Linked DNA regions of Caenorhabditis elegans. The protein of the gene in region 1 purifies or fractionates together with the protein of each later gene. This does not show direct contact. Each region holds a gene or a part of one and is shown on either strand. Other genes may lie near its edges.

Region 1 (6,400 bases):
ATTTGTATTCTTTTTTCATTGTTAGTCACTTTCGCTAGCATCCCTGTTTTCTTTTTCAATTCACTGTCCGCATGTTTCCTCTTTCAATTATGATTATATTGCTGATCTAATAAAGTATCAAGAGATTAATTTTCAAATTTTTACTTTAGTTTAGCAGTAGTAGGACTGAAAAATATATTGGCATGCATGTATGCATGAATAAAGAAAAATGAAATATTGAAAACTAAAAATCACAGAAAATGTACAATGATGATGAAGACGATGTTCCTCAAGGACCGCCAGCAGCTAAACAAGGTAAAACATTTATTTTAGGATGTTAAAATGTGTACCTTATTAAAATAAATTTTCAGCCAAACCAATGCATAATATCCAGATGGCGTTCATGCAATCTCAGCTGGCTCAACGAAAAGCAGCGTTGCAGCAACAAGCAGCGGTGAGTATCATATTTGCACTGAAATTAGAAAAATTAACAAAAAGAACAAAAAGATAGTTTTCTATTCCCAGACGCGAATTTTTCGATTTTTGCGGTAAAAGTACCCGTTCGTGACATGACAAAAGTTTGAAAAATGCAACAAAAAAAAACTTTAAACTCGTTGCTGTGAAATTTTAACCAATTGTTATATATAGGAATGTCTAGTTTTACAATTAAATAAAAATCATATCAAAAACTCGAAAATTTCAATAAAAATTCATGAATTTTTACAAATTATGACAAAAATTGAAAAATCGATTAAAAAAATTACAGTACTGTTTAAAGGGGCACACCGTTTTGTTTTGTAATTCAAATTTGTCGTGCCGAGACCGGGTTCCGTATTTTTGGGTCTGGGTAACAAAGTCTGCATATTGAATAATATTTTTTATTGGAATAGTTAAAAAACAAAAATATTTTCAGAGACAAAAACTAGTGAAATCATCGGCACCACCTCCAGTCATCGATCTTTCGACTCGAAATCGAACGATTACAACTGCAGTAACATCGAAATCCTTCCAACCTATTCGTGCAAATCCAGTTTCCGACAATATCAGTTTTCTTCCAAAAGCTGCCACCGATGAAAGTGTTATGCTATTCGGAGAAGAGCATGTCAAATGTGAATATTATCCAATGACACCCAATAACTATGAAGTCGTTGCAAAAGAGATAAATGACAGGAAACAACGAGAAAAAACTGCTAGAGAAGTGGCGAAACGGTTACAACGTGAACATGAAGAAGAAGATAAAAAACGATCGAAAGGAGCTGCTATTGCTCCACCGACAATGCTCATGGAACCCGAACCGGAAGTGATTAAAAATACAAATGAAAACCAGGATGAGAAGCCACATTCTTCATTTATGCCACCACCTTCATTTCTTCCTGCTTTTGGTAAAGCTACGAGCAGAGGACTCGGAATTGCTGCAAATATTATGAAAAGACATGGATATAAGGAAGGTGCAGGACTTGGAAAATCCGAACAAGGAATGAGTACTGCTTTATCAATTGAGAAAACTGGAGTTCGTGGTGGAAATATTGTTGCTGAAGCTCCAAAGGCTCCGACGTTCGCCACTAATTCGATGGAAGCAGTACAAAATGCAACGAAGATTCTTCAATTATGGAATCTGACGGATTTATCGGAAGTTTCGGGTGAAGAAGGCAAAAAAGAATTTGCTGATGAGATAAAAGAAGAAATGGAAAAATGTGGACAAGTTGTGAATGTGATTGTTCATGTGGTAAGCTCTTTTTCGAATGAAAAAACATTGTATAATTGACATAAAATTGCAGGATGAGTCTCAAGAAGAGGATCGCCAAGTTCGGGTGTTTGTTGAATTCACCAACAATGCTCAAGCTATCAAAGCCTTCGTTATGATGAATGGAAGATTCTTTGGCGGAAGATCCGTATCGGCTGGTTTCCAAAACGTTTCCGACTATAACAATCGGGAATTTTGATCTCTCTTGGCCAAGCTTGGACTTTTTAAAATTCAGTATTTGATTGCCAAATTTAATTATCAACTTTGTTTAACAGTTTATAAAATATTTTCGTTTAATTCTTTTCAGTTCCAAGAAATAAAATTGCAGGATTTTCGTCTGTTCAAATATTTGGAATAATATTATTTGAGAGTGGATACTATTGAAATCTGAACAAATTGTTGGATAATATACAGTAGAAAGATAGTGAAATACTGAATATTTAGTATTAGGTTTGAGATTCATATAATTAATTTCAAAAGTTACAAGTTTTAATTGAATTATACAGAGATGGATGAGTCTCCAAAGTCAGAACGTCCTCCGTGAGCAAAGATTTCTCTATTTCCTCCAAACTGTCCTCTGTTTCCTTGTCCGAATGATGATCCACCGATTGGACGTCCTCCAAGTCCACCATTCTGAATCTCGAGTTCTTCTCCAGCAAATGAAGTCTCCAAATTCCAAGTTCCAATGTCGAACGACTTCAAAGCGAGTGATCCTTGATTGGTGTACTGTGGTGGAAGTTGAACAGTCATCTTGCGGAGTCCTGGAGTTGAAGCATCGTCGCAATCGTGATAGATCGTGAGGAATGGTTGAATAAGGTTCCCATCGAATCCATTTCGTGTGGCACGAAGACGGAAGTTTCCAACAACATCGGTGTTTGTTTCATCGTAGATAATGTTCTCACGTCCACGGAATCGATCCCAAAGAACAACGCGAACCTGAATGTTTTAAAAATTAAAATAATTAAGATAATATATTAGGCTAGATCCATACCTTATCAACTCCAGTTAATCCACAAATAAGCCTTCCTTTCGCCTCGTAGGTAAGCTCTCCGGCTCCGTTTCCTTGGAATCCTCCAGCTCCGGCTGGTCCACCTTCGAATCCTCCTGGACCACCAGGTCCACCTCTTCCACGACCATAACCTCCGAATTGAGCAGCAGCGACTGAGAAGAGAGCAAACAAAACAAACGACTTCATTATTACTGAAAGAATGATGAAGAGAACTGTACCATCTCTCTATTTATACTCCTTATCGCTGGACCCTGATGCGCCGCCCATTTTCATATTCAGAGATAGTGGGAAATTATAAGAGATGCAGAGAATTTGACCTATTCCCACAATTGTGGGAAGAGGCCAATTGAGATAAAATGTATATGGTCTTGTGGTGTTTGAGATGTTGTACTCAATGTTTACAGCTAATTTTATGATGATGGCCTCTCGAAGATAATAATGCACCTAGTTGGGAAGGATTGTCAAATATAAGTTGGTACATTTTCTACTTTAGATTTGCATAGAAACTTCTCTGAATAGACGAAAAAAAATGCTCTGAAAATCGTAGTTTTTCAACAGGAAATATATTGAAATTCAATATAAAATTTTTGTCAAGGTTGATTGCCAGAGCAATCAGGGGGCCCAGTAAAATATACCGAATATTAAAAGCCTAACAAGGAAAGTTGGAAATGGGTATGATAGAATAGTGTTACGGATAATCACTCCAAAAAATGTATCTGCTTTTAAAGCTGGTTCGGCCGAGTTGTGACATTTTGAATTTTTCTGAGATCACCTTTATTTAATTGTATTTTTCAACAAAAAAATCCCGAAAAATTGATATGAATAATTGTAAATAAGCTCATAAATGACAAAATAATCTTTGAAATTAAGCTACAAGACAATTGCCATAAGATCTGATCATATATATACTTAAAAAAGGAATTTATGGAAACTTCACCTCGAGCCTGCCTACATAAATTCCTACCTATCGCCTGCACGCGCCTATTTCAGTATGAACTCCAGTTTAGTGTTCGCAGAATTTGCACAAGTTCAATTAAACATTGTTCGTATCGCATGAAGTTTGACACGCACGATTTATAAAGCGGATTGTCTTGAAGGCAGGTAGGCGCGAAGGCGCAAATATAGAGGCACTAGAATTCATATAAAATAAACATTCAAAAATATAATATTTTTAATCGAAATTCATTAGGTGTATTACGTGAAACTGTCATTTGTTCCTTTTTTCTAATATTTTTTTATTCAAAAAAATCCACGTCTCTCCATATTTGCCATTTCGCGTTGTATTCTGTCATTCCTATTCTTTAAATTTCCAAAAGTAGCGAAAATCGCCAGCTTGATTTAAAAATGCCGTAAGTTCTTTTTAGACCGATTAAGAGTTCACCATTTAAATTTTCCAATTTCAGAAATAAAAATGGTGTCGGAAAAAAATCACCTAGCACATCAAAATCGAGTAACAACAACAAGAGAAGAGAGCCTGAATCTCGTTATGAAGAGAAAACTGCAGTTCATGGAGGAAAAACAAAATATGAAGAGAAGACGGTTGTTCATGGAGGGAAAACGAAGAATGTCGTTGCAAAGAAGGTTCCGAGTAAAGCATCAGTCATAGTTGATAAGAAGGCTTCAACGACTGAAACTACAGTTCCGATTACTGTGAAGAAGAGTATGTTGTCAATTAGCACTGCATACGATAGAACTGTGACTGAAGAGAAGGAGAAGGAGAAGCCAAAGAAAAAAGAAAAGGAGAAATGGTCAGGAGAAGATGCTTCCATCAAATTTAAAGAACTTAGGTTCAATCAATCTGAAGGAGGAGTACGACGAGATACAGAAGCTTCCTGTCCAAACCGATGCAAAATGTGGCAATCGCACTCCAGTCGAAATCGTCATACCGACTACAAATGCTACGATCACAACCGGATTATTGTTCAGATGTGCAAGGACGATTATATCAATGGATCTAAGATAAATGTGCCACACGTGAGTCTAGATACTTGAAGGCAATAAGTACCTAAAACCGTTTATTTTTCAGTTCACTCCATCGATATATCTTGTTCAACTTCCGAAAATGGATTCAGTCGATGCAGTAGAGGAATTTTGGCGTGTCGTGTTCCATGAGCAATGCCAAACGGTGCATATTATTGCAAGACCAGAAGAACTCACCAACCCAGCAATCGACAAGCTGTTCTGTCAGGAATCGGGAGCATGGCTCTATGCCAACGGATTTTTCGTCAACACCCGCAAAGTTGAGAAGAAGGAAAATGCGAAAGCAGACATGTTTGTCGTTGAACTTCTTCCAGAAGGTTGCTCGAATGCTGTCATGTGTAGTGTGTATCTTCATACATACTGGAAGCCTTTGTTTGGACCTGATCGATTCGGTGCACAAATCCGCGCAGCCCATCAAATTGCTAAGAATGAGAACGGAAACTCACCAACTGTCATTGCTTCTGTGAATGGTTCTGGACGGAATGCTGCGCTTCTTACGTTGGCAGTTGTTGAGGATCAGTTGACTAGAGGAAAGGAGCCAAAGGTATACTTTTTCCTATAGTTTTCATAAATACTGAACATTATTTTCAGATAAGCGAAATCGTTCGCACGATCCGTGAGCAACGCCCCCAGTCCGTTGACTCATACATCCAATATGTATCACTGTACATGGCAACCAACTGGCTGATCAAAACAAAGCTCCCATCTGGTCATGAAGTCGTTTCAAAGATCAAGAAGTTTAACGAGAAAGCAACACGCTCCCTTCCTGGTTCGATGATGAAGACACCAACTGAAGGTATGCATAACAGGGTCATTAATTCATTATTTTTGAATTTCAGAACTTTGATGGTGACGGCAGTACTCGACTACAACACTCCTCAATTGAACACTCGCCTTCGGTTTATTTTCGACAAATAAATTAGTTTTCTTCAATTATTTCGTTTTATGTGCATTTCTCCTTCATTCGTTCGTGCCTGCCTGCCTACCGTCTATTTCAAGAAATCTCATCCAGTACCTGCTGTTTGAACAATTTAGTTTTGCCCACTTCACTTTTTGAATTGAGTTGAGGGATGAAATTATTTTCGGCGATTTTACAAAACAAGCTATTGTGATATGTTGATCCAGTATTATTAATTAAAATTTAGTGCCAAAAACACTTATTTAATCCGAAAAAATTTCAAAAGCTCTCTGAAATTTAAATTAAGGCTTTATATATAATATGCTCTTTTCTTTTTGTATATAAAATGATTCACCACTTTAGGTACCACCAAAAACGTAACATTCTTCCCAATAATACACTACACTGTACCCTCCCCCACTATCACTATTCCTTCTCTGTACTGTTTCTCTCTGATACCTCTTTCTATCTAATTTTTTCTTTTGTTTCCATATTTCTATATTATTTTAAAATGGCTTGTCGTTGTCTTCGAGTTGATCAACTGGATGCTCATGTTCTTGATAGTGAGATTCGATCAATTGCACAAGATTCAGTAGATGATGTTGTCAATCAAATGCCTCTATGGGTTGCCAGAATTTTTGAAAAATTGAGACCCGAATTAAAAGTTACATTGGAAGCTGTTTTATGGACGCACCGGTTTTCAAGAGGTTTACAATAATCTTAACAGAGAATGTTTTAAAAAAAATCAATTTAGGCGCTTCACCTGGTCAAGAACAAATGGATATTGCAT
Region 2 (8,257 bases), on another chromosome or scaffold:
ACATCGAAGTATACCAAAGCTGGGTGTACCAACGTCGATTGTACTATCTTCTTCGTCGATCAGAACCGATTTACCAGAGAAAGGTCCCATTAATTTTCATACCTTCAACTGCTGGACGTCCTCCATACGTCGAGCCTCTCTAATCAGCTTCTCGTTGTCCATCATTCGATTCACGTGTTTGCCACGTTGCAGCAGTGCCCGAATCGCTTGATCCAAATTGTCCATCGTTTTGACTGTACAATCGCAATTCACGCATTCCATCCTTTTCGCTTGCTTCGAATTTTGAAAGGTAAGGAATAATTGATTTCTGGTTTTGAATTGTTGTTTTGATTTTTTTTCATTCAACTTTTAAAAAATTAGGCTACACGTTTAAATGTTCAATAAACTTTCCATTTATGAAGTATTAATTATTTGAGTTAAAATTTTTGCGAAATGTCCAAAAAGTGATAATGTCTGGAATATTTGGGTCTGAAGAAAGACTTTTAAAGCTTTTAAAAACTTAGAATATTCTAGAAACTTTTTGGAAAAGGCCGATTTTCTTGTTCGTTTTGAGAGAATTTACAAAAAATATAAAAATTTCCAAAAAAATATAATGATTAATTTTCAGTAATAAATGTCAAAATATTTTGATTTTTGAGTTTCCATCCTCACACAACCCCAATTTACTATTTTCTCCACTTCGTCTGCCACTCGAAAACTACTGCCATTATTGTTGTTTATCAATTTACAGACCGTCAAAGTCGCAAAAACAAGAACTAAGGATTATTCATGGAAAATCCCAATGATTATTCGCAATAACATTCAAATATGCACTGCACAACGGGATCCCGATTTGGCAGAGTGCCAAAATCCAGAATAACCACTGCCAGTTTTTGATTCGCAGGTGGTTGGTAATGGGCTCGCATCTTCTGAATTAATAAAAGAAGAAAGACTGAAAAGAAAGAGAGTATACCCACAATGAGACGAGTGTGGAGATGGGAGAAAATATGAGAAGACTACACTACACCTTAGACATCTTAAATCTATATCTGGATGAGAATGTACAGAGCTGTATACCGGAAAAGAGTTAGTTGTAAATGTGGGAAAATTGTAAAAGTGTTCTCTAATCTTCAAAATCATTGTTGCTCTATTGATTTTTTTGTTCTGTAGGTAGTTTGAATAAATCTTATTTTCAATTGTATTAAACAGTGATTCGAAATTCAAATGACTCGAAGAATAATATAAAAACTGTTTTAGAAGTAGAGTAGCGACAGTTGGAAAATAGTTTTCAAAAAAGAAGCACCCCTTTACATGGGCCAAATGGTGCCTGAACCATCCAAATAAAACTTTACAAAATATTAATGAGACAGTGAAAAATGGAAATTTTGCTGGATTACCCGCATATTTGACATTAATTTCTAAGAACCTTAGGTTCCGTTATCCCAGTAGGAACACTGTAGAATACTGTAGCCAAATATGAAATACCCTAAACTAGTATCACTACTGTTATTTTAATAGTTTGTCGCGTATAATTTGACAACAGAAGATTTAAGTTTCTCAAAAAATAACTCGGCATTTTGATTTTTGTCAATTTATCAAGTCGACATTGATTGAAAAATACTAATTGAAAGTTTGACTATTCGTTTTTATGAAAGTGTATTTTGTACAATAAACGTAGAAAGCTGTTGGAAGAACGAACACCTTGTTGAAGTGATTTTGATTTTAAAAGTTTATCAAAAATTTAGGAGCTTTCAATAGTTTCATAGAATGTATTTTTCACCAAAGGAATGGTTATAAAAAATTTCACTCTTGAAATACCAATGGTTCTTTCTGATCTAGATATGTTAAGAGTCAGTCAAGAACCTGGAAGCCGGTTTCGTTTCCTTTTATAGGTGGAAATTTTCTTTTTCCAATTTTTTCTTTTCCAATTTTTTAAAAATTATTATGGTATCCATCAAATTAATGATTTTCAATTGTTTTGCCCACAAGCCATATTCTACACCTTATACCAAAAATTTTATTTAAAATTGTTCAAAGTTAAATACAATTAGAGACAATTCTCACCGTTTCTTCCCAGAATCAAAACTTCCCAGTCGAATCTACTCATATTCTCTTTGTCTAATTCCCGCTCTAAAGGTGAAAACAATCGTAGGTCAAATTCTCACTCCCGGAAATAGGTGCACATCGCCACACTAACACGACACCTTGGCACACAATTGCGAGATCAATTGTCTTCCCAGGAGAACGGCCCGCCCCATTTTATATAGGTTATATCGATCTCGAGGGGGACCATATAAAAGGGGAGGGTCCATGATCATTGCGCGCTAAAATAATGTTTTATTTTATTGAGTGTTCATTAGGGTTTTCTACTGATCCCATTCCAATTCATATTAAACTAGACTAGTCAGTCTCTCTTTTTTCATTTAGTCTTCAAATCCATTCTATTGCATTCTTTCATTCAGGTATACCTAGTTCAGTCTAGCTCCAAGTCTCCTGATGTGCGTTGACGTTCCATGTGAAAACTGCATTGTTCGCAATGACGGGCTCCGGCTGAAATGTTCTGAATGTGCTGAAGGATCCTCGAAGCTATTCCCAAGGTTAGTTGATTATTTGTGTTCGATATCAATAAATCCATAATTTACAGACAAAACCGTCAACACTCTTCTGCGATCAGCCACATCTCCAACTCATCGCCACCCACTCGGAAACGAAGCATTGATGGAGGATATACATCTGGAACGGATTCTGCGAATACTTCTGAAATTGTGATAAAGAAAAGACTAACTTTCTCAAAAAAGAGCCATTCAACTTCGGAAATTGAGACATGGAATGCCCATCTTCAAGTGGATTATCATTTGGAAACCGTGACGCCTAGCTGTTCTACCGTATACCAAAAAATCACTTCTGAAACGTTAATTGAAATCATGCAGAAGCTATCGCAAATTGAGTTTATGCAGAAATATATTCTAATTGATTGCCGATATGATTATGAATATAATGGAGGGCATATTAAGGTTAGTTTTTGCCGTTTGTACTACGTTTCCAGACTCCAAAGTCTTAGTGTGTACCTTTAAGTTTACAGTAACCCTCGTAATTTATATTCTCTCTTCGTGTCCGTGTATCATTTTAGTTTTTCAATAAATAGACTCTTTCGAGAGAAAATGCCATATGAGAATGGGATACTGTACTTCTTAAAACTCGTACTTAAAGAATCATGAGTCCGTTCTAATGGGTTCTGTCAAAAACAGAAAACACATTTAATTTTAGAATTAATAAAAAATCTACTTTCCTTCGTGGCAAGACCCTTCCAAACCAAATCATGCGCCTTTAAGTGTGCGTTTCAGAAAAAAGAATTATAATAACTGTTTTGAAAAAATACCAGAAAGTTAAAACTGCAAATCTTTTCAGGGAGCTCAAAGCCTGTTCAATCCAGAAACTGCTGCAGACTTCTTCTTCAACAAAGATGGTTCCAAGAAAATCAACCGGATACCCATTTTCTACTGTGAATACAGTCAAAAACGTGGACCAACCATGGCGAACAACCTTCGGGAAGTGGACAGAAAACTGAATTCAAATATCTATCCGAGATGTGATTATGAGGAGATTTATTTGTTGGAAGGAGGTTATAAAAACTTTTACGCTTTCACGCGGGGATTAGAGAAGGAACAAAGAGTACAACTCTGTGAGCCAGATAATTATGTAATCATGTTTGATGATCGTTATAAGGCTGAGCTTCGGAAGCACCAGTTCCATAAGAAGAATGTTTCGAAGCCAATGAAGAAATGGAGTTCAACAACATCTGTGATATCTATTCTAACAACTTCTGGAACTCGTATTTCGACACTTCGTCAGACATGTGATCCCATCCATGAGCACGATGCGCATTAAGAATATGTAGTTCCCGGTATCTTTTAAAAAGGATAATCAAATATTTTGTACTATTTATTATGTTTAATTATAATTACTAGTATCCAGGATAATAGGATGTAAATTAACTTTGATAAATAAACTGAATGATTTGTCAATAAACTTTTTGAATTATCCACAGCATCCCTGAGTTCTTGGGTCTTGTCCAGATCGTTTTGTAATGTGAAGCTTCACGAACTCTTCAGAAGAACATGGATGAATGGCAATTGTGTTTTGAAGATCAGACATTGAAATTCCAACACGGAATGCTACTGCGTAGCCTGAAATAATTTAGTGCAATCGGTTAGCTTTTAAAGTTTTCGTATCTTGATCGATTATCGAGGTTGTTAGTATTACCTACCCGCAGAATATTGTGAGTTGATTGCCAAAAGTACGGTACCTGAACTTGACACGATAAAATTTTTTCGCGCCTGTAAAGAATACTGTAGTTTCAGACTCTCGATTCTGCAGAAATTTTGTAGATTTTTAAAGCTTTTTGATAAAAATTTATTAATTGTCTCAAGTTGTGATTAAATCTTTAAAAAATCGATAAAAATTCTACAGCAGCGAAAGTTTAAATTTTCAGTATTATTTAAAGGTGCACACTTTCTTTGCATTAAAAATTGTCGTATCAAGCCGTATTTTTGGCGCAAAAATAGCAGAATTTTGCGTATGTGTAATATTATTCATTCAATAAAGAAAAAGATAAAAAATTCAAAATAACAGATTTAGCACGTAAGTTTTTGCGAACAGATTATGGTTTTTCGAACATTGTTCCAAAATTGAAGGTGTTCAGAAAACATTTTCGTGACGGGCGGGGCGGACTATTTCTCTTTTTGAATCAATTACCTTGAATTACTTCTGCGGCATTTGGTCCAACAAAATGAAGACCAAGAATTTTCTGCGATTCATCTCTTGTACACACGGCTTTCACATAACAAAAACCGCTATCCTTATTCTGTGGCACAACATACTCAAACGGAGTAAAATGAGAATGAAACACTTCGATCGAATCTTCTCCATGTTTCTGAATGGCTTCTTCCTCAGTTAACCCGACGGTTGAGAGTTCAAGAGGCGTGAATACTGTAGTGGCAACTCCATCGAATCGAACTATTTGTTTGGAATTTGAAAAAAGACGATCAGCTAGAAGTTTTCCGGATTGAATAGCAAGTGGCGTGAGCTCTTGGCGATCCTGAATACTATCATTTTTATTTTAAAAAAATGTTACTTTTTTTATCGTACCTGAACAATATCTCCAACGGCATATACACCATTACAGGAAGCTCTATCAAATTCATCTGCTAGAATCTTCCCAGATCTCTTATCAGTCCTCACTCCAGCATTATCCAAATTCAAACTTTTCAAATTTGGAACTCTACCAGCCGCCCAAATAACTGTATCATATTCTTCAACACCACCATTTCCAGTGAATGTAACCTTCTTCTTACTGCCAACTGCTTCTACACGTTCTACTTCCACGTGTTCCTTAACTTTCACTCCAGTTGTTTTCAGATGCTCCATGACAAAATGCACACAATCTCTATCAAAACCCTTCAAAGGAATTGATCTCACAAGAACTTCAACATTTTGATTGAATGCAGAAAGAAATCCAGCACATTCCAATGCAACATATCCTCCACCAACAATCAAAGTTTTTCCGGGAACTGATGCCAGTGTAAAAAGATCGTCTGAAGTGATTCCAAGTTCAGCACCAGGAATATTTGGATATTTGGGACGGAGTCCTGTTGAGATGACTACATTCGGTGCGGAAAGAAAATTCTGAAAATCTAGGATGAAATTTTTTAATTTTCCGTTTCCTAGCAATATTATTATTACCTAAAGTTTGCGCCAAAAATGCGGTACCAGGTCTCGACGCGACAAATTTTTGTCAAATGCGAAAAGTTGTGCCTTTAACGAGTACTGTCATCTCAAACATTTGTTGCTACGGAATTTTTATAGATTATTTTTATAGATTTTATCACAACTTGTTAGAATAAATTATGTTTTTTCGGAAAACTATATTGTCGTGTCGAGACCTGATACCGTATTCTCCTCCGAAAAGCCGCAAAACTTTTGGGTATACGGAACAAATTTTTTAAAACTTCTTTTTTCATTTTTCCAAACGTACCTTGGTTTTATTTTTGTCTGTACCAGTTATCACAATCTTGTCTTTATCCACAAACTCGGCATAGGCATTGAAGTAATTGATTTTTCTAAATTTCATAAAAATAAAAATTTCCACAAAATTAAAAAAAATACTTCTGATTTAATTGAACTCTATAAATCCAATTGTTTGCTTTTACTCGATCATTCACATTCTTTGACAACACATTCCAATCATGTTTGATTTTCTCTTGATCTATGCCATTCCAGCCATATTTGTCTGCGTGTTTTAGCTGGAATTTTGAATTTAGTGCTCTAAATATTTATAATATTATTCCTGCCTCTTTCCCGACGATTGCTGCTTGGTGCATTAACTTTTTAGGAATGCATCCGACATTTGCACAAGTTCCTCCGATTCCCCATGAATGTCCATGTGGAGTTGGCTCAACTGCATCAATTAATGCCACGTTTGCTCCAAGATCAGCTGCTCTTTTAGAACAAGAAAGTCCTCCAGATCCTGCTCCAATTACAATCAGATCAAATTTATTTGATGAGAAGAGACGCCTGATTGGTAGATGTCGTTTGAAAGTGGATAGAAGCATCAGAAAATTGATCTACAAATGATTTAAAGTTGAATTTCAATTTTCATTAGATTTTTGAAATCGCTATCGGATATTCGCAGATAATTCATTAGAATTGGATATTTTTTAAACAAATAACATTGCTTTTAAAATGAAAATTTTAATCTCATACTATTAATTCGTTTTTATTTTTATTAATTCGTTTTCAACACAAAATGGTACAGGGAATAAAGTGTATTATAATATTGTAGATAATTATATAGTACCGGTGAAAACTAGGAAAAATGGAATAAAAAGAAAATAGAACAGTTGAATAGCAAAGGAATGAAAAGTTGTGAATTAAGAGGGACCATAAAATGTGATACTATAGAGAATCAAGTTTGTAGACCCAATTTTCAAGTTCAATTGAAAAAATCAGAGACGACGAAGATTTCAAAAATACTTGGCTCGTGGTAACTTCATTCGACGTGCTGATAAGTTTTCCAAATTCAAGAGCAAGGTTTTCTGAAATGGAAACGTTTAATAGAAATGATGTTGAAACATTGGATTATACCCATTTCATATTTTAGTCCAATTGAACTGACGATTGTCTCCTTTTGAACAATTGGAATGATTCCACACATTTTTGTTGTCATTTCAAGATTGACATCAAGATTTGAATCCCCCTGAATTTAACTCTTAATGTTCACATAGGCCTGCCAAGGATTACTGTAGGAACAGCGAGAACCAAATTTCTAGAATCCAAAACGATCACAGGAGTTTGAGAATCAACGAATCTTATTAAAGATGATAACGTTGACATGGTGTGATCAAATCGTCCATTGAGACCTCCTAGAACAACGATATTCTCGAATTCCCAGCTTGTTAGTGTTTTCTGCTCTAAGCACCACTGAACGCTCTTCGAGAGATCTGTGTAGTCTTGATCAGGCAGATGGACGACTCTAAAACAACATTAAGAACAATTTTCGACAAAATATTTTTATTTTTTTAGTCCTGAACACAGAATGAATAACATTTAGTTGGCAAGCCAGAAATACCAAAAAAAGTGCAAAATCATTATTATGACCTGGTCAATACACTCTTCTCAACGAATTGTAGCTTTCAGTCTTCCAGTATTAAAAACACAACTCAATAATATTTTAATTTTATTTTCAACGTTCACGCCTATATATTCTTTTAGCTAATATTCAACAGCCGCTACAGTAATAATTCTTTGTGATCACTACAGTAACCCTACAGTAATTCTATCATTGCTCATTAATAGAAGATGTTATCAAACATGAAACACGATTACAATGAAGTTGAGTAATGCCTATATTAATTTTTAATTTCAGTAGAATTTAAACTAACTTTGCATTTTTTGTATCAATCTGTTTATTTATTGAATCGAAATCTCCGCAGATAATATGAGGCCATTCGACGAAACTCTTTCTGAAATCCAAAACTCGGTTTACGATAATTTTCAATTTCTGGATCCTAGATCACCTTTTAAGAATCTCATTAACAGCTCCATCAGTTGCAACTCGATATTTGGCCTTATTCCATAAATTTTCAGCGCGATTGCTGATTGCCGTAGGTTCACCGTTAAGCCAAATACATACTGATGCACACGAATCCTCTAAAATTTCGAATGGCTTCAATTTCTTTGACATTTCTCTGCAAAATTTTTATTTTTTGTAAGCTTCCAC
Region 3 (6,722 bases), on another chromosome or scaffold:
AAATCGCAATATCCGAATAAAATATATTGCTCGAGAATTGTGTACGCGGAGATGAGGATGATAATCACGGCGAGCGGAATTTTGAATCGATGATTGTGATATGAAATCGGAGCGCATGTTGCGAAAATTCTATCGGATGTTATAAAAAATACAATCCAGCAGCGAATAGTTCCCAAGTTGAAGCCGGGCCAAGCGACGAAATATGCCAGGTTTTTCACAGAAAACTCGGGAAAAAGCGTTTTTATCAGGGAATAAATCAAAAATATTGATGCTGAAATTGTTTTTTTTTAATTCTTGTTTGTTGCCAATTTGCCGGAAATTTCAACTCCGGCAGTTTGCCGGTTTGCCGATTTGCCGGAAATCTTCAATTTCGGAAATTTGCCGGTTTGCCGGAAATCTTCAATTCCGGCAATTGGCCGATTTACCGGAAAATTCGATTCCAGCAATTGGCCGATTTACCGGAAATTTTCAATTCCGGCAATTCGCCGGTTTGCCGGAAAAGTTGTTTGCCGCCAACCCCTGACTGGGAATCCCGGTGCCAGGCTGTCCCATTTCGGTGTGATCTACAATAAATGCGGGAACTTTTTCGCCAGAAATATGTGACGTGAACATTGCCGGAATTGAAGATTTCCGGCAAATCGGCAAATTGCCGAAATTGAAATTTCCGGCAAATCGGCAAATTGGCGAAATTTAAATTTCCGGCAAACCGGCAAATTGCCGGAATTGAAAATTTCCGGCAAATCGGCAGATTGCTAAAATTGAATTTTCCGGCAAACCGGCAAATTGCCGGAATCGAAATTTCGGGTAAATCGGCAAATTGCCGGATTCGAAATTTCCGACAAACCGGCAAATTGCCGATAATTTTTCCGTTTTTTACGTATGACTGATAATTTGAACACTTACATTAAGATTTTACCATGTTTCAGGTTATAAGAAAATTTTATTTTTCAGATTTCCGATTTTTTCAATGAATTTCCTTTTTTTTCATCACTTTTTCTCGCTTCAAACATTGAAATTTCGATTTTTTCCGCAAAAAACTCGAGAAAAATGCGAACTCTCGTAAATCGACACACGCGGCGCGCTCCAATGAGAATGTCCCTGGCGCGCGTTTGAAAATGGTTTTGGGGAAAGAAACTCGCGATTTCGAGCAGAATCGGGCAAATTTGGAGAAATTTCCTAGATTCCGCTTAAAAATAACTCACTATCGAAAGAATAAATCACGTCGATTAGAAAACGGCAATAAATCAGTGATAATTCTGGCTTTTTCTGGATTTTCTTTCGTATAAATATTTGAGAAAGCAGGTAGAAATTCAGAAAAACGTTGATTTCGGTGAAAAAAATCGCTGAAATCGCTACCGACGTCACCAAAGAAGACATAAGGGAAGGAAGTTGTGACTTTTTTGTTTTCGACGAATTTTTTGGTTCAGCTTCCAGTCGAATGAACAATTTTGTAGTGCGAAGTACAAAAAAATGTCTGAAATTAATGAGATTTTGTTTGTCTTTTAGTTGCGACGACGATAAATATATTTTTATATTTTGAAGACGAGTCCAGAGGACGAGCGAGATGCAAAAAACACAGACCATGGGGGGGGGGGGGGGGAGAAAAATTCAAATAAAAATCAAATAATGGGTGAAAAACCGGGAGCAATCAAATAATTAGCGCATCTGAATGACTCCAGCGTCGCGGAGCTTCATGAGTTTCTGAAAGATCTCCGGATTCTTCAAGTGCTCTCGCACGGCTCCCGGGTCGTTGCTCATCTGCTCGAGAATCATACGCATTCCTGGGTCGCGGAGAATCTCCTGAACTTCTGGATCGGCGAGACTTCTCTCCTTGGCCTTCTCGGGATCCTCGTCGTTGCTTCGCAGACAGTTACGCACACCTTCACGGGCTTCTTCGTTGGATGGGTCGACTTGGAGAGCATCTTCGTAGGCTCGCTGAGCCTTCGACCACTCACGCATTGCGACGAGGCAAGCGGCTTTGCGGATGTATCCCTTGACTGAAATAATACAATTTTTAGTTAATTCTGAGCAAAAAAATTAGAAAATCGTACTAAATTTCGAGTCCAGCCGAATACAAGTGTCACAATCATCAAGAGCTCTCTGGAATTCCATCAATTTCGTCAGACACGCGGCCCGGTTTGAGTACAAAATCGCGTTCTCCGGATCACGCTTCACCGCTTCGTTGTAGTGCCTCATCGCTGTCGGATAGTCGCCCTTCTTGAAATACTCGTTTCCCTTGTTCTTCTCCTCCTGGGCAAGCTCTGGATTGATATAGGCAAGACGCTCGGCCGCCTTCAACTGCTTCTCGAGCTCCTTGACTTTCTTGACAAGCTCGGGGTCTCTGAACTCGGAGAGCGAGCGGTGGAACCATTGGACGGCTAAACTCAAGTCATTCTGCTTCTGGAAAGCGTTTCCGGCACGAGACATGGCCTTGGCGATAAGCTTGTAATCGGCACGGGTCTCGCGTCCAACTTCGACGGCTTTCTCGCAGAATTGCACACATTCCGCGAATTTTTTCTCCTCGAAATAGACGGCTGAAATTCGGAAAATTAGGGAAAATCTACAGTTTTTTTTAAATAAAAACCTACCGGCTTTGTTGTTGTAGAAGGTAATATTACTAGGATCAAGCTCGATCGCTTTGTCGTAGTGAACATGAGCTTTTTCAAAGTCCTTTTGCTTGTAGGCAGCATTTCCGAGATCTTTTTCAGCAATCGCCTGAAAATAGGGAATTTTAGTTGAATTTTATTGATTAATTGTTGAAAAACTTACGGCGTCCGTCATTTTTGCCGAAATATTGAAAAAATCTGAAAAAAAAATGAGATAAAAGTGAGCAGAAACGATGAAAAGAAGGAAATGAATCGAGAAAATGAGGAATTCTTCGAGAAAATTTGCCAATGGCAAACGCGCTCTATTGAGCGAGCGAGGCAGAGAGTGTGCGAAGGAGAGAGACGCAGAGAAAATAATCGCTTGGCGGGAGACGCTTGAATTTTAAATAATACCCGTTTCGTTTTAGATCGATTTTTATACATAAAAATATAGAAATTGATTAGGAAATTTAAAAAAGAAAAGTAAAGGCGCCCGGAATACCCAATGTGAACTGGATTTCACGATAAAAATACAGATACTCCGGAAAATAACGAGCATCGAGTCAAATTTTGAATTTTTCTGAATTTTGCTCCGAATTTTCCCGAAACTAAACAAAATTCTGACTTTTGTTATCATTAATTCGCGGAATAATGAATATTTTTGGTCAAAAATATGGTACCAGGTCTGGACGCGACTATTTTTGTTTAATGTAATCGGGTGTGCTCCTTTAAAGATTACTGTAGCGTCAAACTCTTGTTGTTGTGGAATTTTCATCGAGTTTTCATATTTTCGTCTCAACTGTTATTATTTAATAAAAAGACTTGAATAAAACAAATAAAAACACGTAAATTCTAAAAAAAAATCGATAAAAGTTCCGTACCAACAAAAGCTCGAAATTACAGTACTCTTTAAAGGCGCACACCTTTTCTCATTTGACAAAGGCTTGTCGTGTCGAGACCGGCTACCGTATTCTTGACGCAAAATGTTTACTTTAAAAGATAGAAAATGAGCCGTAATGACCGATTTATTGTATATACTTTGATGTGTGTAAATTTTCAGACATTTCTCTCGTGGTGTCATAATGTCCCATATCGTTGTGATCTACAAAAATTTTAAAATAATCAGATTCTTGCAAAGTGTAAAAACAAGTTTCGATTAAGTTATACAGTCCATTTTCTATCATTTAAATTGAATGTATTATTATTGAATAGTAACCAGTGCTACGGATGTGGGAAGTGTAGCATTTTTATTAGTGAATGGGCAACAATCTGGAAAATACACTCAACTTATTTGGCTGGCAACTTTTACTCACGAAATATTGCTTCACGGAAAGCCTTGATCACTAAAATTGTTGGAAGTGAGTCCAAGACTGGGTATAGAGCAACCGTCACACCAATTATCTCGCCAAACACTGGCCTTCCACAATGAAAAAAAGGCGCCAGAAATAGGACGAACGATGGCAACTGTATGAAAAACGCCGGGACAAGTGATTGCAACACCAAAGAATTTAAAAGTTGCAGTTGAATTGAACGGAATTTTTCGGAGTGGGAAGTCAGCTCGGTTAGCTTGGAGACCTCTTTGTAGCTTAAAGTTGCAAAAATGACAATCATTGCGAAGGAAATCGAGATCAGTGTCGATGCAATAGACATTCCCAACATTGTTCTCCAATTTATAACTTCATTTCTATTTTCATCAAGTTTCCAATAGTTGGGCCCAATATATGTTACGTCGGATATGTTTAACTTATTCTCGCGTAAATACCCATTCCTGAGAAGTTCAACAGAGTACAACAAGCATTTCATTTTACTCACCCCTGTAATATCTGTTCAGTATCCGTGTTGACCCATAGTGTACAATATAAATTGACTGCCCAGAGGAAACCGTAGATAACAGGAATCAAGAGCCAGATCAACGTTTTTCGGAGTGATTTTGTTTTAAGAAATGAATGGCTGAAAAAGGTTAACGTTTTAAAATTTTTATTATATTAATTCCACAATTTTCAAAATTTTTCTAGAAAGTTTTATTTTCTCAGAAATTGAATTTCTTGCCAAAATTTTTTCTCATAGTCAGAAAATTTGAATTCCCGCCAAAACGAATGGCTTTAGCCATGATAGGTCTCACCACGACTTTTCCTTTAAACTTCAGTGAATTTTTTCTAAACTATAGTAATCCTACAGTACCCTTACAGTACTGCGACCATCTAACCCCACTAAATCCAAACCAATATCCTCTCAAAAAACGAAAAGTCAGATATTCCAAGACTACAGTAATCCTACACTACCTCTACAGTACTGCGACAGTCTAACCCCAAGCCAATATTCTTCCTAAACACGAAAAGTCAATTTTTCCTAAACTACAGTACCCTTACAGTACCCCTACAGTACCCCTCAGATAGACTGGAGTCACGGCAGAGCGATAGAAAATCACTGCTAATTAGCATTTATGTCACGGCTTAGTCAACCGCAGTAATTGTGCTTTTCCGCTGATTAGCGGTGATGTTTTGCTACGTAGTTATGCTTTCTTGCTAGCTAGTTTTGCTTTCATATTGGATTAAACTTTTATAAAACCATAAAAAATAACACGATTTATTATGAAAATGAAACAAAATGAAAAAACAACAGAAAAAAAACATTTAACGAAAAATGGAAAAAAAAACAAAAAAACAAGTTTCGAAAGTATCAGAAAACAGGAGAACTAGTGAATTTATGGGGAGTCTGGGATATTTTCCCTTCCAGCAGATTTCGAAGTTGATAGAGAGTTCGAAGATGATTGAAAGTTCGAAGTTGATGGAACTTGCTCCTCATCGATATCCTCGCTGCTCTTGTAGAATTGTGTGCAATCGATGATGGGACGCTTTGGCAGCACAATTTTTGGTGGATTCTGGCCGTCGTGTTTTGTTCGATACAAACCACGGGCATGATCGCTGCAAAAAGACATTTGTGAAAACATAGTTTTTCAAGTTAAAGAAAAATTCTATTCGCTGGCTTTTTAAAGTAAATAACAAGAAACCTACAATCTGACTTTGATATGATGCTTGAACAGCATATTGACCACACTTGGAAGGCGAGTAACGTCCACCTGGTCGTTGTCCAACTTGATTGCCGCAGCGAGAAGAGCTGAAAACGATTTTTATGTGGCTCGCCCATGTAAATCATAAACTAACCGGCTGGCCAATTTGTCAAGTCTCCTGGGAAGAAAGTAAGAGGCTCCGTCTTTTTGCTTGTCGTGAAGGATCCTTGTTGCTCTCTCGGAATCAGCTGAAATGTTAAATAGTCAAAAATAGAACGTAATATTTGATCGCTCACGTAGTCAATCCAGTGATTTGACATAGCATTGACAATTGATCTAACCGAGCCATGTTGAATGCTCAGCGCCGAAAACACGAGATTGACGTTGATAAACACTGAAATAGAATGTTCTTGGGGGCGGTTTTTATTTATGTTCTTGGTATACCAGTTTGATCCAAACTCGAAACTTCCAGCAGTTTGTGGTTCAGAAAATCGTTAGGGTTCAATTTTGCCATTTCTTCACCCTGTAAATAACATTTTCAAATGCTCAAAATCGTTCCATTCTTATAAACATACAAGTAAACGATTCTTCTCCATTGGTTTACTTTTCGGGTGCATTGATCGCTCAGTAACCAGTTCCTGCTGAAATTTTCTCCAATATTAATTGCAAATTCAAGATAGTAACTAAAACTGACCATGAGCATAACACCTCGAATTGCACCCATTGAAGCTTTAGACCAAGCATCCGGAGCAGTGCGGATCAACTCGTCAATCGATTCATAACTATAGTCAATTGATCCTCCAACGTTCTCTCCGAGTCTTTTCTAAAAGTCAACAATTTTGATCATGCCAGATTTTTGGAAAAAAAAACTTACCAAGAATCCTGGAGTTTGTTCGGTGGGGAGTGTGTGAGATGTAAGTCCTAGATCTACAATACAGATTTTTCCGCCTTTCTGAAATTAATTTATTTCCGAGCAACTCGAAATTAGCAGAAGTAAACACCTTCGCAATTGGATGCATATCCGGTTTGAACGATTTTCTAGGCAACGATGGACTTGATTGCATTGGCTCATGATTTGGTTGCTCCGGAAGAGCAATTTCCAGATGAGATTCTTCTTGTTGCTCCTC
Region 4 (10,767 bases), on another chromosome or scaffold:
GATCCAGCAAGTTGAGCCATAAATCCACCCATCGAGACACCAGAAATTGCAAATGGACCATATCCAAGTGTCTCAGACCAATTGAAAAGATGATTACATTCTGCAATTAAAGCGGCACCCATCACAAAAAGATCCGTCACATTTTCAAGAGAAGAACGGAATTGATTCGGTGGTTTTCGATCTCCATAAAATGGATTTTGAATTAAAATAGATCCCACACCATCCTTAAGCATGTCATCAACAAGAAGATAGTGACGTCTGAAATAATAGTGATCTATGATACCAGTTTTGATTTTTTTGCATTTTTTCGAAATTTTTGTGGTCTCTGATAAGAATCATTATTCGATTTATGCATCTATGTAAGATGCGATACTTTTTATCTCAGTTTTTGAGTTTTTTTCTCTTTTTAGATTAAATATGTATTATTCAGACGCAAACTTTTTCGATCTTTGTGACAAAAATACGGTATCCGGTCTCGACACGATGAATTTTGTTAAATGCAAAAAGGTGTGCGCCTTTAAAGGAAACTGTAAGTTAAAAACTCTGCAGCGAGTTTTAAAGTACAAAAAAATTTGTCGTGCCGAGACCAGGTACCGTATTTTTTAAAATAAATTTTCAATTTTCTTACCTAAAATAAGAGTGATCTCCGGTGCCTGCCAAATGTATGCATACGGGGCCTGGTTTCTGAGGAAGATATGCTCTGAAATGTGCTCGACCGACGTTTCCTGGCATATGATTGGGAAAGAGAGTGGCATGAGGACTTGCGAAAAATCCCTCGTATGAAGTTACGCCATTTTTTGAATATTTCTGAGAATTATTTATTATTGAAAAATGTTTTTGAGAAATTAAAATTTACCTTCACAATGTCGATTTTGGGATTAAGTTCTTTCACATAATCCATCACAAGCCTCTTTGACATGACATCTCTGCGATATTTTGCCATTCTAAAATAATAATAACAATAATTAATTATCTATTAGTTTCTCAATTTCTCAATTAAAACAAAACGTACTGTTTAATTACATCCGGATGTCCCCAACTTTTTGTGAATAATTGACTGAGCACAAGAGCCGATCGAAATTTCAGATCCACGTGTTTCGCCCACGACGGCAAGTTCGGAATGAAAGAAGCCATTATTGTATTGGCAAGTCAGTCACCAAATCGACTCAAATTGTTGCAGCAAATTGTGAGAAAATGAGAATCTACAAAAAGAAAGATTTATTTCGGTTTCAGGGATTGGAAAATGTAATCGTAAAAGTTTCAAATTTCGAGGAAAATCTACCAAAAACATTGCCAGTTAAGCAGTTTGTCATTGAAACAGCTAAAGGAAAATTGACGACTATTGTGGAAGAAATGAAAAGAAAAGAGGTATAGTTATTTTTTCAGTAACTTGAGAATATAGTTATTAGTTGAAAAACAAATCGGAATTCAACAAAAAAAATACGGCAACATTTCTCGACGCGACCTAAAACTTTTTGCGCAAAATTTCAGAGTGCTGCAGCATATCGAGACCTGCTACCATATTTTTAAAATCTAAAATTGAAATTATAAAAACTGAGATATTATATTAATATATGAATTATTAAGGAGCCGTACTCTGTTATTATTGCGTGTGATACAGTAATCGAATTCAATGGAGAAATTATTGGAAAACCAACAGATGCCAATGACGCTAAAGAAACTTTGAAAAGGTAATTAAATTTTCAACATCATAATTGTATAAATTAATTTCAGACTTCGTAACAATACTCATAATGTATATACTGGAATGGCTCTACACTATCATGAAACTGATCAATATGAAGAGATCATCGAGAAAACAATTGTTCATTTTGGAGATATTCCTGATAGAGTTATCGACGAATATGTAAAAAGCGGAGAGCCATTGTTAGTTTTTTTTAGCAAAAAAAAGTTATGGAAATATTTATTGATTGAAAGTTATCAAAATTTTTGGAATTGAATTTCTTATCTAAAGTCATAAAAATGAAAGAAAAATTGGCGGTCAAGAAATTTTGAACATTTTATGAGTATTTGAAAGAGCTGCAAAACTTGAGGGATTTTTAAAATTTTCATCACGTTTTTCATCATTTTCATCACGACATTTGAAAACTCCAATAAAAAAACACGAATAACTGACCTAGTAAATCGAAATTTCAGGAAAAAAGCAGGTTCATATGGAATCGGTGACTTTGGCGCTGTCTTCGTTCGTGGAATCGAAGGATGTATGCCGAATGTGGTTGGTTTGCCACTTCACCGTCTTCACCAAGCTCTTATCGCTAAAAATATTCTCTAAAATGCTTTCACTTCCATATTTTATTTTCTCACATTACATCAGGTTTTCACGTTGATGCTTCAATCGATATTATGATTCGGAGCTTTCAAACCTTCTCCAAAATAAATATGTAAAACGAATTACTTAATTTTATTAATCTTTCAAAAAGTCGATTGGCAAGTCAATCATGCTCATCGCAAAACATGGAAGAATTTCTGGAAATGGTTCAAGAGTTCAGGGAGTCACTGGAGACAATGAAAAGATTACATGGGGATAGGTGGATGAATAAAGATATGTGTATCTAACAAAATGATTATAAAAAATTAGAAATTTACATGAGACTAGATATAATAACATAAAATGAAATGCACGAATCACAATATTTTTCAAAATTGGTAGAGGATTGACTAGAAATGCGAAATATCTAACAAATGACAATCACTACAGGTTCAATGAACATTTCAGCAACTGTACTCATAGAGAAGGCAATGCCACAAGTGTCAGGTGACGGAAAATTTGTAAAATAGTGAGAATAATGAGAGAGTACAGACTAGAAAGCATCTAGGACGAAAGAATCACAACGCAAACAGTGAGAGAAACAGGAACAGAAAGGAAGAAAAATTAAAAGAAACAAAGAAAAAGGTCTAGGAGGAGTCTGAGCCACGAGTTTCTCGGATTGTTCCAGAATTTGGTTCTCGATAGTTCATCATTCCCAAATTGCTTGGACGGGATGTTGATGATGTCATCTCTGCTTCTTGTTCTTCCGGAAGACACTCGAATTGGGTAACTCGCGAACTGGAAAATGACATAAATTGTTGAAAATGAAAGTATATTTTCAGAAACGAAAATGTTCACAATGCGATCAAAATTAGAAGTATCATATTTTTTTAGAAAATAATTATTATTAATAATTTCATAAATATAATATTTGAATAGACGTTCTAAATAGTATAAAATAAGGAATTTACAATTATTTGCAAACTTAAAAACTAAAAAATAAAATTTTAGAGAAATGTCGTCAAATGTGGTGTTTCTTGTGCACTTTGAAACCGTACCCCAAATTGGAGGAGTTTCAAATATTAGGGTTCTTGAACTCACTTTTTCGAGTTTCCAGAAGCATCCTTGTCCCCAGATTGTCTTTTGATTCCGCGTCGTTTCATGAGAGGAGCAGCAGCAACATCGAGAAGATGGAATCCATCACGATTAGCGTGGAGGAATGCGCGCAGTGTCTCATTGAATGTTTCATCTGAAAAGTCAAAAGATTAGGTTATTCAATTTTCAATAACATCAGTTTAACTACCTGCTGATGATGGCAGAATACTAGGAGTTTGAAGTGGTGTATCCATTGAAGCCGAAGACTTGAGCCACATATGAGCTGTAAGCTCTTGCATTGAAAGACGTTTCTTTGGATCCACAGTAAGAAGACCGGTTATTAAATTCTTAGCATCTGCTGACACGTTTGTCCATGCGTCTCCTGTGAATGAGAATTCTGCTCTACAAATTCTCTGCATTATTTCAGTTGCCGATTCTTGACGAGAACGTGCATGGAATGGAACTTGACCCGATAGCATTGTGAACTGAAAAATTTATTCGTAGAAAATGTGCCACACAATTTAAAATATTTCTTATGAATTTCTAATAACCAGGGTTCTCAATGCGTCCAAAAAATTTTTCACGATGTGGTACTGTAGTTGCATGCTTCCATTTCGTGATTTTTATCGATTATCAATCGTTTCTTAAATTTGAGGGGTCTTTTTGTTTTTTCTCAAAATTTTTACTTCGATTTTTGAAACATTAAATTATTACAAAATTATACAACTAACCAGTACAACTCCAAGTGACCATAAATCACATTGTTCGTTGTATTCTGGTTGAGAATCTCCAACATCTAAAACTTCTGGAGCAGCATACTGTAGTGTGAAGCAGGGGGTCCTGTAATTATGATTGAAGAATTTCATAGTGAGAGTTAGGCAAATATATAGAAGCTATTAGTGAAAACAAACGTTATTCAAAGATGAATTGGGCATTCTCTAACTCTCAAGTTTACAGAAAATTTGAGAAACTTAATGTGAGTGTTTGTGAATTGTTAGTAAACAGCTTTGTCTTGAAAATCAAGTGAGAGTCAGAGAATGAGTGTGTTTCTTCAAAAATCTCTGAAATCAAGAAAGAAACCCTTAGTAGAGATAAGTGAAAAGAAAGGTTTAAAAGGATAGAAAAAGAAGATAATCTGTAACAAGAATGCACGAAACATCACACACCACCGTCTTCCTCTCTACCAAAAGTAACTTTTTTCGAACATTTGTTCTTTTAAATTTTCAGCTTGAGACACATGCTCCCAGTTAAGAAAAAAAAACAAAAATATGCCCAATAATGAGTGAAAAAAGACAAAACACAATAACTTTTGACTAGACTAAATGTTACTCCGAGTGGAGTGAATGATTGTGTGCGATGAGACCGTACATCTTGCGCAGAACTTGAACAGACTTCAGTTGTTGTTCCATTGAATTTGGAAGTAGACGTGCAAATCCAAAATCGACTAGACGAAGGCGGGCACTTGAATCGATACTTTCAAATAGAATATTCTGGAATAAGAATAACTGTGCCCGTTTTTTTAAAAATTGCGTCATAATTTTCTAACTACTCGAGTATACTCCACCTTTAATTATTAATTTGTTTCACTTTTTGGAAGTATTTTATTCTTATGTTTTGTATTATTTTGCAGCCACTTAACATAATCTGATCATTGAAACTCACCTCTGGTTTCAAATCTCGATGAACAATTCTTTTATCATGAAGATATTTCACAGCTGATACCAACTGCCGCATGATGTCTGCTGCTTCACTCTAAAAATTTAATTTTCAGAGTAACTCCGAATTAAAGAAATGCTTAAAAGAATTCTAACCTCTGTAAATCGTTCCAATTTTCGAATTCTCTCGAGCAGCTCATTTCCAGTCAGAATCTCCATGACGAGATAAAAATGAAGAGGATCCGAATGTACATCATGAAGTTGAACAATATTCGGATGTCCTTGAACCATTTCAAGAATTCGTGCTTCACGTTGAGCCTGACTTGCGAACTTTTGTGATACGATTTTGACTGCAAACTGGGCTCCGTCAACTACGCGTTCGCATCGTCTGAATTTGTATATTTTATCTTTAAAACTATGTAAAAATAACGTTTTGTTGAACTTTTTCGAGATTTTCGAATCTAGAAAATAGTTCCAGCACATGAAATGTTGATGAAAATATAAAAATTTACCTGACCACCGAAAAAGCTCCTTTTCCTAAAAGACCAGCGTCCGACTTGTCTAGTTTGTACTTGGCAAAAAATGAAGAACTCGCGAGAAGTGCATTGACATCTTCAGCCATTAGTTCTTCACCGATAACATTGTCATTGGCAAATATAACAGATGGGGAGACATATGAGTATCCCTGTAATCACATAATTTCTTCTGGAAATTTATTTTTGTCAAACATATTTCGGAATTCGGCTCAAAATCCGGCAATCGGTGCCTGCCAAGTTAAGAAAAAACTCACTCTAAACAGAGTATTAGCATTTAATGGTGACTCTGCAGGAGAATATAATGGTGGCTGAGAAGTGAATTCAGCTGAGAAGAACTGTGTATCCAAATCATGTCCAATTCTTGGAACAATCACTGGCTTCAATGTACGCTTAACAGCTGCATCCCAGTCAATACTTGACATAAATTTATGATTTTTAATTTCATCAACTCCATTGTATCCGAGACGTTTTTCAAGTTTCTTTTCCAACAATTGGCCGATGAAATCGCGAGCATCAACATCCATAGTTTTTGGGAAAGGGACCTTCTTTGTCATAATTCGTCTAAAACTCGAAGAAATTATAAAGAAAATGAGGAAATGATTTACTTGGCAATATCTTTACTAGAGTTTTGTGCTCCATCTACAGTAAATGGTGAGCATCCAGTGAGCAATTCAAATGAAATTACACCCAAAGACCACCAATCGACAACATCACTGTATCCTCCTTCAGGGCGATTGATTACTTCTGGCGACCTGGAATCATTAAACTTGAGAATTTATTTCTTATCTATTCAGAAATTACTTTTACACAGCCGTCTGTGCCAATTTTCGTTTGTAAAGAATTATATGAAAATCTCAATGAAAAAATTCAATAGCTCAATAATCAAATATCAATGATCAATAATTTTCAACAAAAAATGATACCTTTTAATATACAACCAAAAAGTAGCAATTACCCAGTTTTTGTTAATCCTAATTTTGGAACTACATCAAAAACTACGAATTGTATATTCTAATCATGTTTAAATTATTGACATGCAAATAATTCTGAGGTTTGATAAGTTCTTTTTTTTTTTAATTCCAAATACGTTTGGCAGTGTGCCTAAACTTTGGCTGGAAATTTCAAAACTCACATATATTCAATAGTTCCACAATATGAATTGGCTCTATCCAACTCTCCGGGTAGAAACAATTTACTTAATCCAAAATCTGTCAACTTAACGTGTCCTTCTTCGTCCAATAAAATATTCTCAAGCTTCAAATCTCGATAAATAACTTTTCTTTGATGAAGACTATCAATTGCAACCACAAGTTCAGCAATTACAAATCTAGCAGCTTCTAAATCAAAATGACCTCTCGAGCAAAGATGTGTGAATAATTCTCCTCCTCTCACATATTCCATTACAATGTGCAATTTGGTATCAGTTTGGAAAGCATAGAACAAATTGACAAGAAATGGTGTTCCACGTAGACGTTCAAGTACTTGACGCTCTGCCATTGTGTGCTCCAGGGTTTTTTGTTTTGTGAGCACCTGCAATCAAATTTGTTTTTTTTTCGTTTCATATTAAAATACTAATCTATAAACTTTATTTCACCTCACTTTCCCATCTCTCAAAAATTTTTCAATCCAGTTATTTGTTTCGAAAAGTTCAAAACCATTTCAAGAATATGAATTCCGGCAATTGTCGGTTTTTTCGCTCTTGGCGAGAGATGAAAAAACAAATAATAATACAAAGGTTCAGCACCGTATAAATGAGAAATTATTATTTTTAAATTCATTTCTTTTCCAAAAATAACTCACTCTGGTCTTTCTCAACACTTTCATAGCATATATAGTATTATGATCCTTTCCACCAACTTTTCGCACAAGGAATACTTTTCCATATGCTCCTTTTCCAAGAACTCTGAGGAGAGCAAAGTTCTCCATGGAAACTTTCTCTCCTTCAGGCATCAATATATCTTCCATTTTTTCTATATATGTATGCCTTCTGCCTATTTTTTGTGTTCTTCGGGTTTAATCACCTGAAAAATAAAAATTGCACGAAATGAGGTTTTGCAAATATGCACGTAGGCATAACAAGGTTATAAGTGAAATCGACTGAGCAGAAGAGAATAGAGTGAAAACAAAATATTGAAAAAACAAACTCAATTTTTGCAGATCTAATAATTTACATATTAGTTTTCAAAACTAAATCTAGTAGTTGTTTAATTTTCCAAAAAAAAAGTAATTTTGCATTCTTCTGAAATTCGAACTTAAAGGAGCTTGTCAAAATATTTTCAATCTTTAAAAGATTAATCTAAATAAATCCATGAAAACTTCGAAATTATGACAATATTTTCAAATTTATTCATGTTTAGAGGATGACTCACAAATTGGCTAACTATAAGAGTTCTAATAACTGAGTATCAAGAGAATGATGACAAATAATAGAATTTCACAAGACAAAGTCATTAGGAAGATCTTGAGTTTTAAGTTTTGAGATCTTAGGCTTTAATAAAAGAAATCAGAAGATTATACAAAATTTGGAATGAAGACTGCGAAAAAAAGAGACATGGAAAAACAGAAATTATCACATGAATCTTGCAGAAAAGGAAATGAAAACGAGAAATCCATTACCGCTTGGAAGGTTGAGAACAAGAAGGAGAGGAAGAAAAAGAAGAAGCACAGCACAAAAAAGAGGACAACATAGCAAACAGAATAAAAAACAAAATGAAAAGTCTTCTAGAGAAAGAAAGATTTGTTGACCAACTCTATTCACCTCCGATCATTTTCAGAAATCCCCTTTCCCTTTTCTCTCCATCCAACAATATTCTGAAAACTTGAAGAAGTTGTGAGCTCAGGCTTTCCTGCCAAGAGAGCACAAGTGGTGTGGTGTCATGAGCCATAAGCAAGAAGAAGGAAGATGAAGAAGGAAAGAGAAAGAGACAACGATGCAAAAGTGAAAATATGCCATGTGTTTTGCGTGTGTGCTTCGTTTTTTCTTCCTTTCTTTTGTTGCATTTGCTGCCGTGGCTCCGGTGAGCAAGAGCAGAATCAAATGGAACACAAGAACACAACAAGCAGAAGTTAGAGGAATGAGAAGAGTGAGAAGTAAGAGAAATGGAAGATATAAACAGGAAATATCAAAACAACACTTCTACTGCTTCTAGGTACCTAGATTTGGGGAATTCGTCTAACGAAGAGAAAACTAACCAAGCTAATCAACAAAATATTAACGAGAGGAATGATGGGGCCTGTATAAATTTAGTTTCTAGCGATAAATATTAAGAATAAATATCTTGAAGCTTTTAAAATAACCTAAATTAATCACTTCTGCTTTTAAAGAAACTCAAATCAATTAGAAATAAACATTTTGCAAAAAAACCAGTGATACACTAAACATCAAACGAAATATGAAAGAAAAGTTCACTGGCCAGAAATTAAAACTAGGAATTTCAAATCTTAATACTTGAAACTGAAAAGCTCAAAATGAAAACAAGTTCATTAGTTGTTTTCATCGGAATTTTTTCAGAAAAGTAATACATTTATCTTTTAATGTTTTGTATTTTTCAAAATATTTTCGAATCTATTTTAAAATATTCACCAAAATTAGTTTTATTTTTTAAAAGGGTGTAATGGTTCCGCCCACATCTTGGTTGTTTTGCCGTTTTGCACCCACGATGGAAAAGTGAATAGAAAAAATTCTTCATACTATTTTTTAGAGTTAAAATCAAGTTTGCATTCGACTTGTGTTTTTGCTAGTCAATGAAAATTCTGCATCTGACAGCATAATTTAAAAGTTTTCTAGAGTTCACACACAAATCATATTTAAAAATATTTGATTACTTTCCGAACCCCAGGAGCAAAAGTTATAGGAACATTTATGAAAAACGTTGGACACAGCTTGTCACAATAATTGTTTTTTTTGCTATAACTATAATTATCATCACGAAAAAAGAGTAAAAGACCACAGAGAACACAAAGTTGGTCACAAAAGTAAAATGACCTCAAATGAAAAATGCAGATGGGCGAGAAAGGGTCGAATTTACATTTGCATGTGTATTTGGACTGCCAACTTAAAGTTTATGCATTCTACGTAATCAAGTTTCAGAAATTAATGGGATTATGATTAGAAAATGACATTTGCAATTATAGAGATCAATTTAATATGAATGAATTAACTGAAAGTGCAAAAATTCTGCAAAAACTAGAGTGAAATTAGTAATTCATCTGGAAGGAAAAAAACGATAGTTATTTTGTTGAAATTAGATTTTAGGATGAAAAATAAATTTTTTGTTCAAATGAGAGATGAAGAATTGATCCAAACGTGTTGCTGAAAATAGAACATTTAAAATTTGTCGAACCTGATATTTAGGGTGTGCGGAAAATCTACAAAATTGCTGATTTCTCTGCAATAAGCAAACTTATGAAAGCAAAAGCAATTTGAAAAATTCGAAAACTCTCTGGAAATAATCCTAAATTTTGTTTGAAATAGAGCCCAACTACCGAAACTTGCCAAAACTTTGACCCATTTTTTCAGCAGTGACTAACTTTCAGTCTTTAGATACTTTTAAAAAAATTCAATCAAAACAAGAATTGTGTTCAAATTGACTAAATATTATTCTACATTATATTAATTTTTTATCTAAAACAACCATATCGAAAAGAGAACATTTGCCGTACAACCCTCTTTTTGAAGAGACACTATCAAAGATCAGAGACCATTTTAGATAACACTAATTAAGTTCAAACGGAATTTTACATGGGAAAGAATCACAAATATTTTATAAGAATCAAAAAAAAAAGAACATTTTTAATAATTTTTTGATATAGCCTATGCAATGTGTTGTTTGTGTGTGTGTGGTGTGTGTCGTCGTCGGTTTTTCCCCGCTTCAATGGCATTGAAGAGAGAAACGAAAAGAAAAAGAATAGTGAGAGATTAATGGTTTATAGTAGAGACTCAGACACATTTTTTGGAGAAATGAAATATAAAGATTAGAGAAATGAGTGAAAAAGCAGGATCAGTAATTACGATTGAGCACAAAAAAGGATTTTGAAAAATCAAGTGTTTGGGAAATGTGATTATTATGGCAGAACAAGAACAAAATAATAATAATATTATTCATGAATTATAGACCAAGGTCACAACAAATCATGAATCATACAAGTTCCTACAAGCTTCTGATTTTGGAAAATATATGCCCGCAAACTAGAAAACTACTATTTGAAAATT

Evidence for each region.
Region 2: the proteins of ttr-50 (region 1) and trxr-2 fractionate together in Caenorhabditis elegans (co-fractionation; one large-scale study listed by BioGRID). This does not show direct contact.
Region 3: the proteins of ttr-50 (region 1) and sti-1 fractionate together in Caenorhabditis elegans (co-fractionation; one large-scale study listed by BioGRID). This does not show direct contact.
Region 4: the proteins of ttr-50 (region 1) and rskn-2 fractionate together in Caenorhabditis elegans (co-fractionation; one large-scale study listed by BioGRID). This does not show direct contact.

What each region holds. Positions count from the first base shown.
Region 1 is NC_003282.8:11,638,080-11,644,479, forward strand, and holds ttr-50 (Transthyretin-like family protein), read right to left. Parts: upstream 2,937-6,400; 5' UTR 2,919-2,936; coding exon 2,715-2,918; intron 2,660-2,714; coding exon 2,222-2,659; 3' UTR 1,968-2,221; downstream 1-1,967. Other genes in the region: rbm-17 (Splicing factor 45), read left to right, coding at 240-294, 351-433, 893-1,705, 1,758-1,922; ZK809.1 (Tyrosine-protein phosphatase domain-containing protein), read left to right, coding at 4,077-4,081, 4,136-4,706, 4,759-5,256, 5,304-5,508, 5,552-5,559; prx-2 (RING-type E3 ubiquitin transferase (cysteine targeting)), read left to right, coding at 6,122-6,317, 6,365-6,400.
Region 2 is NC_003281.10:8,912,114-8,920,370, reverse strand, and holds trxr-2 (putative glutathione reductase 2), read right to left. Parts: upstream 6,603-8,257; 5' UTR 6,591-6,602; coding exon 6,330-6,590; intron 6,282-6,329; coding exon 6,145-6,281; intron 6,099-6,144; coding exon 6,014-6,098; intron 5,665-6,013; coding exon 5,128-5,664; intron 5,078-5,127; coding exon 4,735-5,077; intron 4,167-4,734; coding exon 4,018-4,166; 3' UTR 3,912-4,017; downstream 1-3,911. Other genes in the region: ZK637.15 (uncharacterized protein), read right to left, coding at 103-261; M-phase inducer phosphatase cdc-25.3, read left to right, coding at 2,476-2,576, 2,624-2,993, 3,388-3,867; tpk-1 (thiamine pyrophosphokinase 1), read right to left, coding at 6,934-7,073, 7,123-7,234, 7,279-7,510, 7,920-8,000, 8,055-8,221.
Region 3 is NC_003283.11:769,650-776,371, reverse strand, and holds sti-1 (Stress-induced-phosphoprotein 1), read right to left. Parts: upstream 2,855-6,722; 5' UTR 2,782-2,854; coding exon 2,770-2,781; intron 2,716-2,769; coding exon 2,589-2,715; intron 2,535-2,588; coding exon 2,052-2,534; intron 1,998-2,051; coding exon 1,657-1,997; 3' UTR 1,597-1,656; downstream 1-1,596. Other genes in the region: srbc-58 (Serpentine Receptor, class BC (Class B-like)), read right to left, coding at 1-271, 1,203-1,377; str-238 (Seven TM Receptor), read right to left, coding at 3,787-3,854, 3,899-4,353, 4,398-4,535. UniProt on the Caenorhabditis elegans protein: Plays a role in gonad development. Up-regulates longevity and thermotolerance. Binds daf-21/hsp90 and inhibits its ATPase activity.
Region 4 is NC_003279.8:8,011,221-8,021,987, reverse strand, and holds rskn-2 (Ribosomal protein S6 kinase), read right to left. Parts: upstream 7,579-10,767; 5' UTR 7,521-7,578; coding exon 7,356-7,520; intron 7,086-7,355; coding exon 6,688-7,085; intron 6,308-6,687; coding exon 6,161-6,307; intron 6,117-6,160; coding exon 5,810-6,116; intron 5,705-5,809; coding exon 5,532-5,704; intron 5,408-5,531; coding exon 5,176-5,407; intron 5,117-5,175; coding exon 5,027-5,116; intron 4,855-5,026; coding exon 4,733-4,854; intron 4,205-4,732; coding exon 4,096-4,204; intron 3,850-4,095; coding exon 3,570-3,849; intron 3,519-3,569; coding exon 3,371-3,518; intron 3,068-3,370; coding exon 2,917-3,067; 3' UTR 2,408-2,916; downstream 1-2,407. Other genes in the region: C54G4.7 (AB hydrolase-1 domain-containing protein), read right to left, coding at 1-258, 629-807, 857-944, 1,013-1,134; dod-18 (Nucleotide PPase), read left to right, coding at 1,121-1,186, 1,234-1,368, 1,588-1,691, 1,735-1,887, 2,158-2,293. UniProt on the Caenorhabditis elegans protein: Serine/threonine kinase that may play a role in mediating the mitogen- and stress-induced effects on transcription. May repress transcription via phosphorylation of 'Ser-1' of histone H2A. May phosphorylate histone H3.